Linked DNA regions of Yarrowia lipolytica. The protein of the gene in region 2 binds, or shares a complex with, the protein of the main gene of each other region. Links are inferred from orthologs where the notes say so. Each region holds a gene or a part of one and is shown on either strand. Other genes may lie near its edges.

What was found.
Region 1: YALI1_A21509g (region 2) and YALI1_B18764g share a complex: the UniProt entries of both Saccharomyces cerevisiae proteins name them as parts of the phosphatidylinositol N-acetylglucosaminyltransferase (GPI-GlcNAc transferase) complex. The link is inferred for Yarrowia lipolytica from reciprocal best matches to the Saccharomyces cerevisiae genes SPT14 and GPI2.

Annotation. Positions count from the first base shown.
Region 1 is NC_090771.1:1,874,533-1,877,926, forward strand, and holds YALI1_B18764g (uncharacterized protein), read left to right. Parts: upstream 1-1,889; coding exon 1,890-2,894; downstream 2,895-3,394. Other genes in the region: YALI1_B18741g (uncharacterized protein), read left to right, coding at 1-1,365; YALI1_B18798g (uncharacterized protein), read right to left, coding at 3,113-3,394. UniProt on the Saccharomyces cerevisiae protein: Part of the complex catalyzing the transfer of N-acetylglucosamine from UDP-N-acetylglucosamine to phosphatidylinositol, the first step of GPI biosynthesis.
Region 2 is NC_090770.1:2,149,084-2,152,763, forward strand, and holds YALI1_A21509g (uncharacterized protein), read left to right. Parts: upstream 1-1,782; coding exon 1,783-3,087; downstream 3,088-3,680. Other genes in the region: YALI1_A21477g (uncharacterized protein), read left to right, coding at 1-89, 428-458; YALI1_A21499g (uncharacterized protein), read left to right, coding at 833-1,062, 1,192-1,468; YALI1_A21550g (uncharacterized protein), read right to left, coding at 3,089-3,680. UniProt on the Saccharomyces cerevisiae protein: Catalytic subunit in the complex catalyzing the transfer of N-acetylglucosamine from UDP-N-acetylglucosamine to phosphatidylinositol, the first step of GPI biosynthesis.

The DNA of each region.
Region 1 (3,394 bases), on a different chromosome or scaffold from region 2:
CTGACTTACGTACACGGCCGTCAGCAGCGTCTTGGAAAAGCCAAGGCTGCTCTTGGAGGCGTCCCCCAAGCCGAGGCTGAGACTCAATGGAAGTCGTATGTCGGCCGAGAAAGAGCTCACCTGCGAAAGCGTCGAACCCGTCTCAAGCACGGCGACTTCCAGATCCTTACCCAAGTCGGCCAGGGAGGTTACGGACAGGTGTTCCTGGCCAAGAAGGCCGACACCCGGGAAATTTGCGCCCTCAAGGTGCTTAACAAGAAGCTGCTGCTTAAACTGGACGAAATCAGACACATTCTTACCGAACGAGACATTCTAACGGCTGCCCGGTCCGAGTGGCTTGTCAAGCTGCTTTACGCCTTCCAGGACCAGGAGTCTGTCTACCTCGCCATGGAGTTTGTCCCTGGAGGAGACTACCGAACTCTGCTTAATAACACCGGCATCCTCAACCCCAGACACGCGCGGTTCTACATCTCCGAGATGTTCGCATCACTGGAGGCCCTCCACAAGCTCGGATACATCCACAGAGATCTCAAGCCCGAGAACTTCCTCATCGACTCGGCAGGTCACATCAAGCTGACTGACTTTGGTCTTGCATCCGGAGCAATCTCCAAGGACCGAGTTGAAAGCATGAAAATTCGTCTTGATGCCGTCAAGGATGTCCAGGTCACCCATAGATCGCTCACCGAGCGACAGAAGATGTACCGGTCTCTGCGAGCCTCGGACATTAACTACGCCTCCTCCATTGTTGGCTCTCCTGACTACATGGCTCTGGAGGTTCTGGAGGGAAAGAACTACGACTACACAATTGACTACTGGTCTCTGGGCTGCATGTTGTTCGAGACTCTGGCCGGCTACCCTCCTTTCGCTGGAGCTTCTCCTGACGAGACATACTCTAACTTGCGACAGTGGAAGAACGCTCTTCGGCGGCCCAAGTACGATGATGGTCGATACGTCTTTTCGGACCGAACCTGGGATCTCATCCAACGACTCATCACCTCCGCTCGATACAGACTGCGGTCTTTCGACGAGATTGCCAAGCACCCCTACTTTGCCGAGGTTGAATGGGAGACTCTGCGAGAAAAGACTCCTCCCTTCATCCCCCAGCTCGACTCGGATGTTGACGCTGGCTACTTTGATGATTTCTCTAACGAGGCTGATATGGAGAAGTACCAGGAGGTGATGGCCAAGCGAACACAGGTCGAGAACCTTGCTGACAAGGGCAACCCCATCCCCCACCGAGCATTTGTCGGCTTCACCTTCAGGCACTCTCGAAACCCCAATAACAACATTCTGGAGGAGACCAACAAGGGCAACACTCACAGCAGGCGAGAAGTTGGACGAAGCAACTTTGGAACCATGTTCTAACTGGATGTTCTTTCACTCGCACTTGAAATTTCTCCCACATCTTACTAAATAGCTCGCATAGATTCCAGTGGTCAAGCTACCACATCAGTTCCGCGTTCCGCGTTCCGTTCCTTTCTAATATATCTGAGATTAACATAATATTAAAGCATAAACACCAGGACTCCGAGACATTCATCGTCTTAGCGAACAACTTACCTGTAATTACTATTCGGATATTATCACCTCAAAGATCAATCAACTTCATCGACCGATCTAAACGTCCCTTGCAGATCATGCACGTGTAGTTTAGCAGTCTTATTATTGCAGAGGGAATATGGGTTGATTTTGTGGTACCATAAATAATTTGTGTGGCATTCTTTTATCTACCTGTATGTTAAAAAGTTGATTTTCAACTTCAATGAGTCTTTCCGCCCACATTGACCACTATTATCACCCTCTCATGCTCGCTTTCTCGACACATCTGATGTTGTCCAACACCAACTTTAAGCTGACCTCTTCACCAAAGCTAATTTGCTGATGCCAACATGTCGCGCGGGATCCAGAAACTGAGGTCTCGAGCCACAGGAGAATGGACCGGAGTGCAGGGAGAGCCTTTAACGGAAGAATCGGGCTTTGATGATCCGGACGCCGTGTTCCCCGACTGCCAACCGACGACTCGTCCGCCATGGAAGAAACTATTGTGGGTCAAGCAGGACTACCCCGACAACTATGTGGACTCGTCTTTTCTGTCGCAACTGCGCCGAAACGACAATGTGGCTCAGTACTCGTTCCGCTCACTGTTTCTCGACTCTAGTGTGATCATCATGCATCTGTGCACTATCGTCGTCTTTGTGGTGGTGTTTTTGGGCATATTCAACCATGAGTGGGACCCCGAGTTCTTTGCGATCATCGCATCTGTGCTCACAGTGCCCGGATACTTTGTATACGAGAAGTACAAGATCCACAATGACGACAAGAGCCGACCCTCTACGATAAAGGGAGCGCTACTCATTGTATTTGTCCTTCTTGCTCTGTCACCAGTGCTAAAGTCGCTGACACGATCCACATCGTCAGACTCAATCTGGGCCATCGCCTGCTGGCTGGGGCTCGCTAACGTGTGTTTCCACGACTACACTGATGGAGCCCGCACTGCTTCAGGCGCGTCTTCGCTCAAATTGACTCGTCCTATTCTGTCAACAAATCTCGCTATGCTGGCAGCAATAGTGCTAGCTTCTCAACTGCGTACAACAATGGCAGTCTTTTGCTTCGTGCTCTTTTCTGTCATTCTCTTTGGAGTCTTCCCCATGTTTACACAATGGTGTCGTGCCACCTCCAGACGCGGGTACTGGGTGCTCCTGTCCATACTGCTGATCCTATCCGCTACAGGCCTCTATGTCATTGGAGGGCTGTGGGCACTGGGGGCCTGGATTGGAGTTAAGCTCTTTGTCAGTGTGGGTGCTCCACTGTGGCTTCTGGCCCTTCAGAAATACAAAAACGACATTCAAGGCCCATGGGATATTGCCAAGCCGGTCATTCGAAATCGTCCGTGACTTTCGATTCTCGAGCCACAGACACTGCTTATTTCCCTGCCACTTTACATCCACGTCTGTCAAGTGCTGATCAGACAACAATAGAACCTCTGTATTTAAACACACACACTAATAAAACCTCTTTTTCATCTGTAAACCCAGGCGATAAGGTCTATTTCTATTTCTACAAGCACTTGCTCATTTCTTGTTGCTAATATGTCAATTATAATACATTACACCTAACCATTGAAGGCTCCTCCAGCCAAACACAGATTCCTGCTAGTGAACTGCACCTTGTAAACCGGGCTGCTCTTAGTGTGGTAGACAGCCATATGATCGGGGGTTGCTACAATCTCCCGCTTCTTGGATGCCTCGTTACCCTTAGCAGAAGATACAGCCTCTGGGGCTCGTTCAACTGACAGGTTCTCAGGCTCAGGTCCAGACTCCACAGTGCTCTTCTTAACGTCCCACACTCGGATGCTCTGGTCTGCACCAGCAGACACGAGCACGGTTCCTTCCCT
Region 2 (3,680 bases):
ACCGAGCCCGCCCAGTATACTGGTGATGGAAGCGATGTCGCCGCTGGTCTAGGTCTGCTGGCCTTACTTGGACTTGGCGTCATTTTGATGTGAGTATTACGACAACTACTAACCCCAAAAAATGATCAAGACGTTCTTGATTAATCTACATTTTAATTTTTCATTTTGGTTTCTTTTTCATGTTCGACATCTACTTTTCAAGTGGCTTCTTTTTCGCATTTTTCTTGGCACTCTTCCTCTTCATTCCTCTTCATTCCTCTTTATTCTCCTTTATTCCTCTTCTTCCCTTTCTCTTCTTCGTCTTCCCTTCTCTTCTTCTTGTCTTTGACTTCTTCATGTCTTTGACTTCTTCCTTCTCTTTTCTTACTCCTTTCTTCTTTTTTCCCGCACACCGACTTGTGTCGCTCAGCGTCCGTAGCTAACCCAGCCCCCACCTCACCAACTCCACCTCCACTTAATTAGTGTTGACAGTAACCGCTCGACGGTATTCTATGCCGTACCTCCGCTCTGTGCAATCTTCTAGAGCCCTCCCCCTCGCTTTCATATTCTTGTCTATACTAACCATTTACCTGCTGGCACTCTGCTCCTTCGTTATCACAGGTGCTAGTTTTATTTCAGTATTTATAACCTATATAATCTCAATCACGATCTTATGCCCTCACACTTCCATGTCCCTCAATTAATACTGATTTCATAAGGGCAGCCCGTGGGCGTATCGATAGTTTATGTGTTATACGGCGTGTGCAGTTTATGGAGGGACAGTGGTTATGGGCAGAAGATGTATAAGAGTTACAGTAGATACAAGTCGATGTAATTTCCAACCACACCAACAATGCCCTTTCTATCTAACCATCCCTGTGACTCCACCAGCTTTTCAGAGTTTTACGAGAGTGATGATATCAGGGACGCTTTCTACAGCAAGCCCAATACCATCTTCAAGCGTGACTACGTCGTTGGGCTCAACAGAGAGAAGAAGGCCTGTCTTCAGGCCGAGATAACCAAGAAATACAACTCTCAAAAGACAGGACGGCTAGGCTACCTTCCTGTTGCCAAGTGGACATGGTACGCCATTCGGTACTGTGAGCTCTCTAGTCCCATGAATCTCCTTGCCGGTAAAGAGCTCTGCTACCGCAAGCCCCCCAACAATGAAAACGTTGCCTTAGCCTGACCTACTGTTTCCTTGAAACGCAGCAAGCGGGTCAAGCGAAACAATCGACCTGGCCGTCTGAGAGCCATTGCTGTTATTATGGCCGAAAACAAGCAGCTGGAACGGGACTACACACTCTTTTCTCTGCCAGTGAACCTCTATCATTTAGTCGAGCTGGCCAGTGCACATGAAGAGACAATCACCAAAACTGCGGCTCAGCGAAAAGTTATCAAAAGAGAAAAAGAATTGCAACTCGAGCGAAAACAAATGGAACACCTCCGGTCCTCTAAAAAGGAGTTCCTTGTTGAAGGTATGGCCTAAGCCTAAGCCCAAAAAGTTGGGATCTACCCGTCTGTGTATTATAGTAGATATTGTATTATAGTGAAGAATAAGTGAAAACGTAGTCATATCAAGTGTTCTCCGGTGCAAAAAAGTCATGGACGACCACACACATACCATTCGCTTCGCCCATGATGTATGCTCATGTTTAAGTTGAACCATGCTCCGTTATCTCCGAACGGCCAATAAAGTTTCGGGTACACACCATGATGCAGTTCACGTGACGAGACGCGCATCTTTGGAATTACTTACGGCCAAAGACACACCAGTCGTAACATACCACCACAACGCCAACCATGCCGTACAACATTGCCATGGTATCGGACTTCTTCTATCCGCAACCAGGTGGGGTGGAATTGCATGTCTACCAATTGTCTCAACGACTCAAACAACGTGGCCACTCGGTAGTCATCATCACACACGCATACGACAGCCGAACAGGAGTGCGGATCCTCACCAACGGAATTAAGGTGTACTACGTGCCGTTTTTCGTGCTCTATCGAAACTCCACCTTTCCCTCAGTCTTCTCTGCATTCCCTATTCTTCGAAACATCTTCATTCGCGAAAATATTGACATTGTGCACGGCCATGGATCTCTCTCGTCTCTGTGCCATGAAGCCATTTTGCATGCAAGAACCATGGGCATGAAGACCGTGTTTACAGACCACTCTTTGTTTGGTTTTGCTGACGCGGGAAGCATCGCTGGAAACAAGGCTCTGAAATTCACACTGTCTGATGTTGGCCATGTAATCTGCGTGTCTCACACCTGCAAGGAAAACACAGTGTTGCGAGCATCTCTGGACCCTTCAATTGTCAGTGTCATTCCCAACGCCGTCGTCTCTAAAGCATTCACCCCTGATCCAACCAGAGCAGACCCCAATTACATCACCATTGTTGTCATATCACGTCTCTACCCTAATAAAGGAGCCGATCTGCTCACCGTCATCATCCCACGAATCTGCGCACTCCACCCACGCGTTAAGTTCCTCATTGCAGGTTCAGGACCCAAGGAAATCGATCTGCAGCAAATGAGAGAACGATACAGACTGCAGGAGCGAGTCGAGCTGATTGGTAGCATTCGACACGAAGAAGTGCGTGATCTCATGGTCACAGGAAACATTTATTTGCATCCAACTCTGACGGAGGCCTTTGGAACCGTCATTGTTGAGGCCGCTAGTTGTGGTCTACTTGTGGTCACTACAGACGTTGGTGGCATTCCAGAGGTGCTGCCCTCGCACATGACAGTATTTGCCAGCCCCTCGGAAGACTCACTGGTGGACTCGACTATGAAAGCGATTGCGATCTTGGAGAAGAAGGAGGTCGACCCAACCACTTTTTACAACGAAATCAAGGGCATGTACAAGTGGTCGGAGGTCGCAAGGAGAACTGAAAAGGTCTACGACTCAATCAATGAGGAATCGTTGAATGAGCCACTGTTGGACCGACTGGCAAAGTTCTATGCGTGCGGGGAATGGGCTGGAAAACTCTTTGTCATTTGCGTATGCGTCGATGTTATGTTATATGCTATACTGGAGTTGTTTTGGCCTAGACACACCATTGACCGAGTAAAACCTTGGCCTCGAGTCAAGTCTGGAGAATAATCTATTCCAAAAGCATGGCCTGATATCTCTCAAACTGCAGTCTTTGCTGTGCTGCGACATGTTTGGATAGCTGATTTCGAGGTCTCCAGCCAGTGGGATTGTCGTCGAGCTTCAACGGCGTGGCTGCTTGTGCCAGCTTCTGTAGCTGATGAAAAGCGGCCTGCGTTTTCAGAGGCAGATAAGGATGGGCTTTGACAATGGGGGGTTTCAGGTCTTCCATCCAATCGAGGTCGTCTCGACCCTTTGAGTTCTCCAGAGTCAGGTGTCGGACCGTCTGGCGCAGGCTCTGAAGCTCGGTTTCCATCTGAGACTGATGGAGCGTATTTAAATGCATATCTACTATATCTTCCCCCTTGAGCGTAGACAATTTGAGTCGGTTTTGGACATGAGTCTTGAACCTTTGGGCATCGGCGTTCTTCTGCTCCAGCTTGGCCTTGAGACTCTCCACATCATCACGAAGTCGTTTCTCCGTAAGAGCAGCTTCATTGAGGTTGGCTCGGAGTTGCACAAATGCCTCTTCCTTCTCGGCGAACCGTTCGGCTTTTGAATCGTAGTGCTTAATCTTGATCTCCAGAGTCTCAATGGTCTTCTCT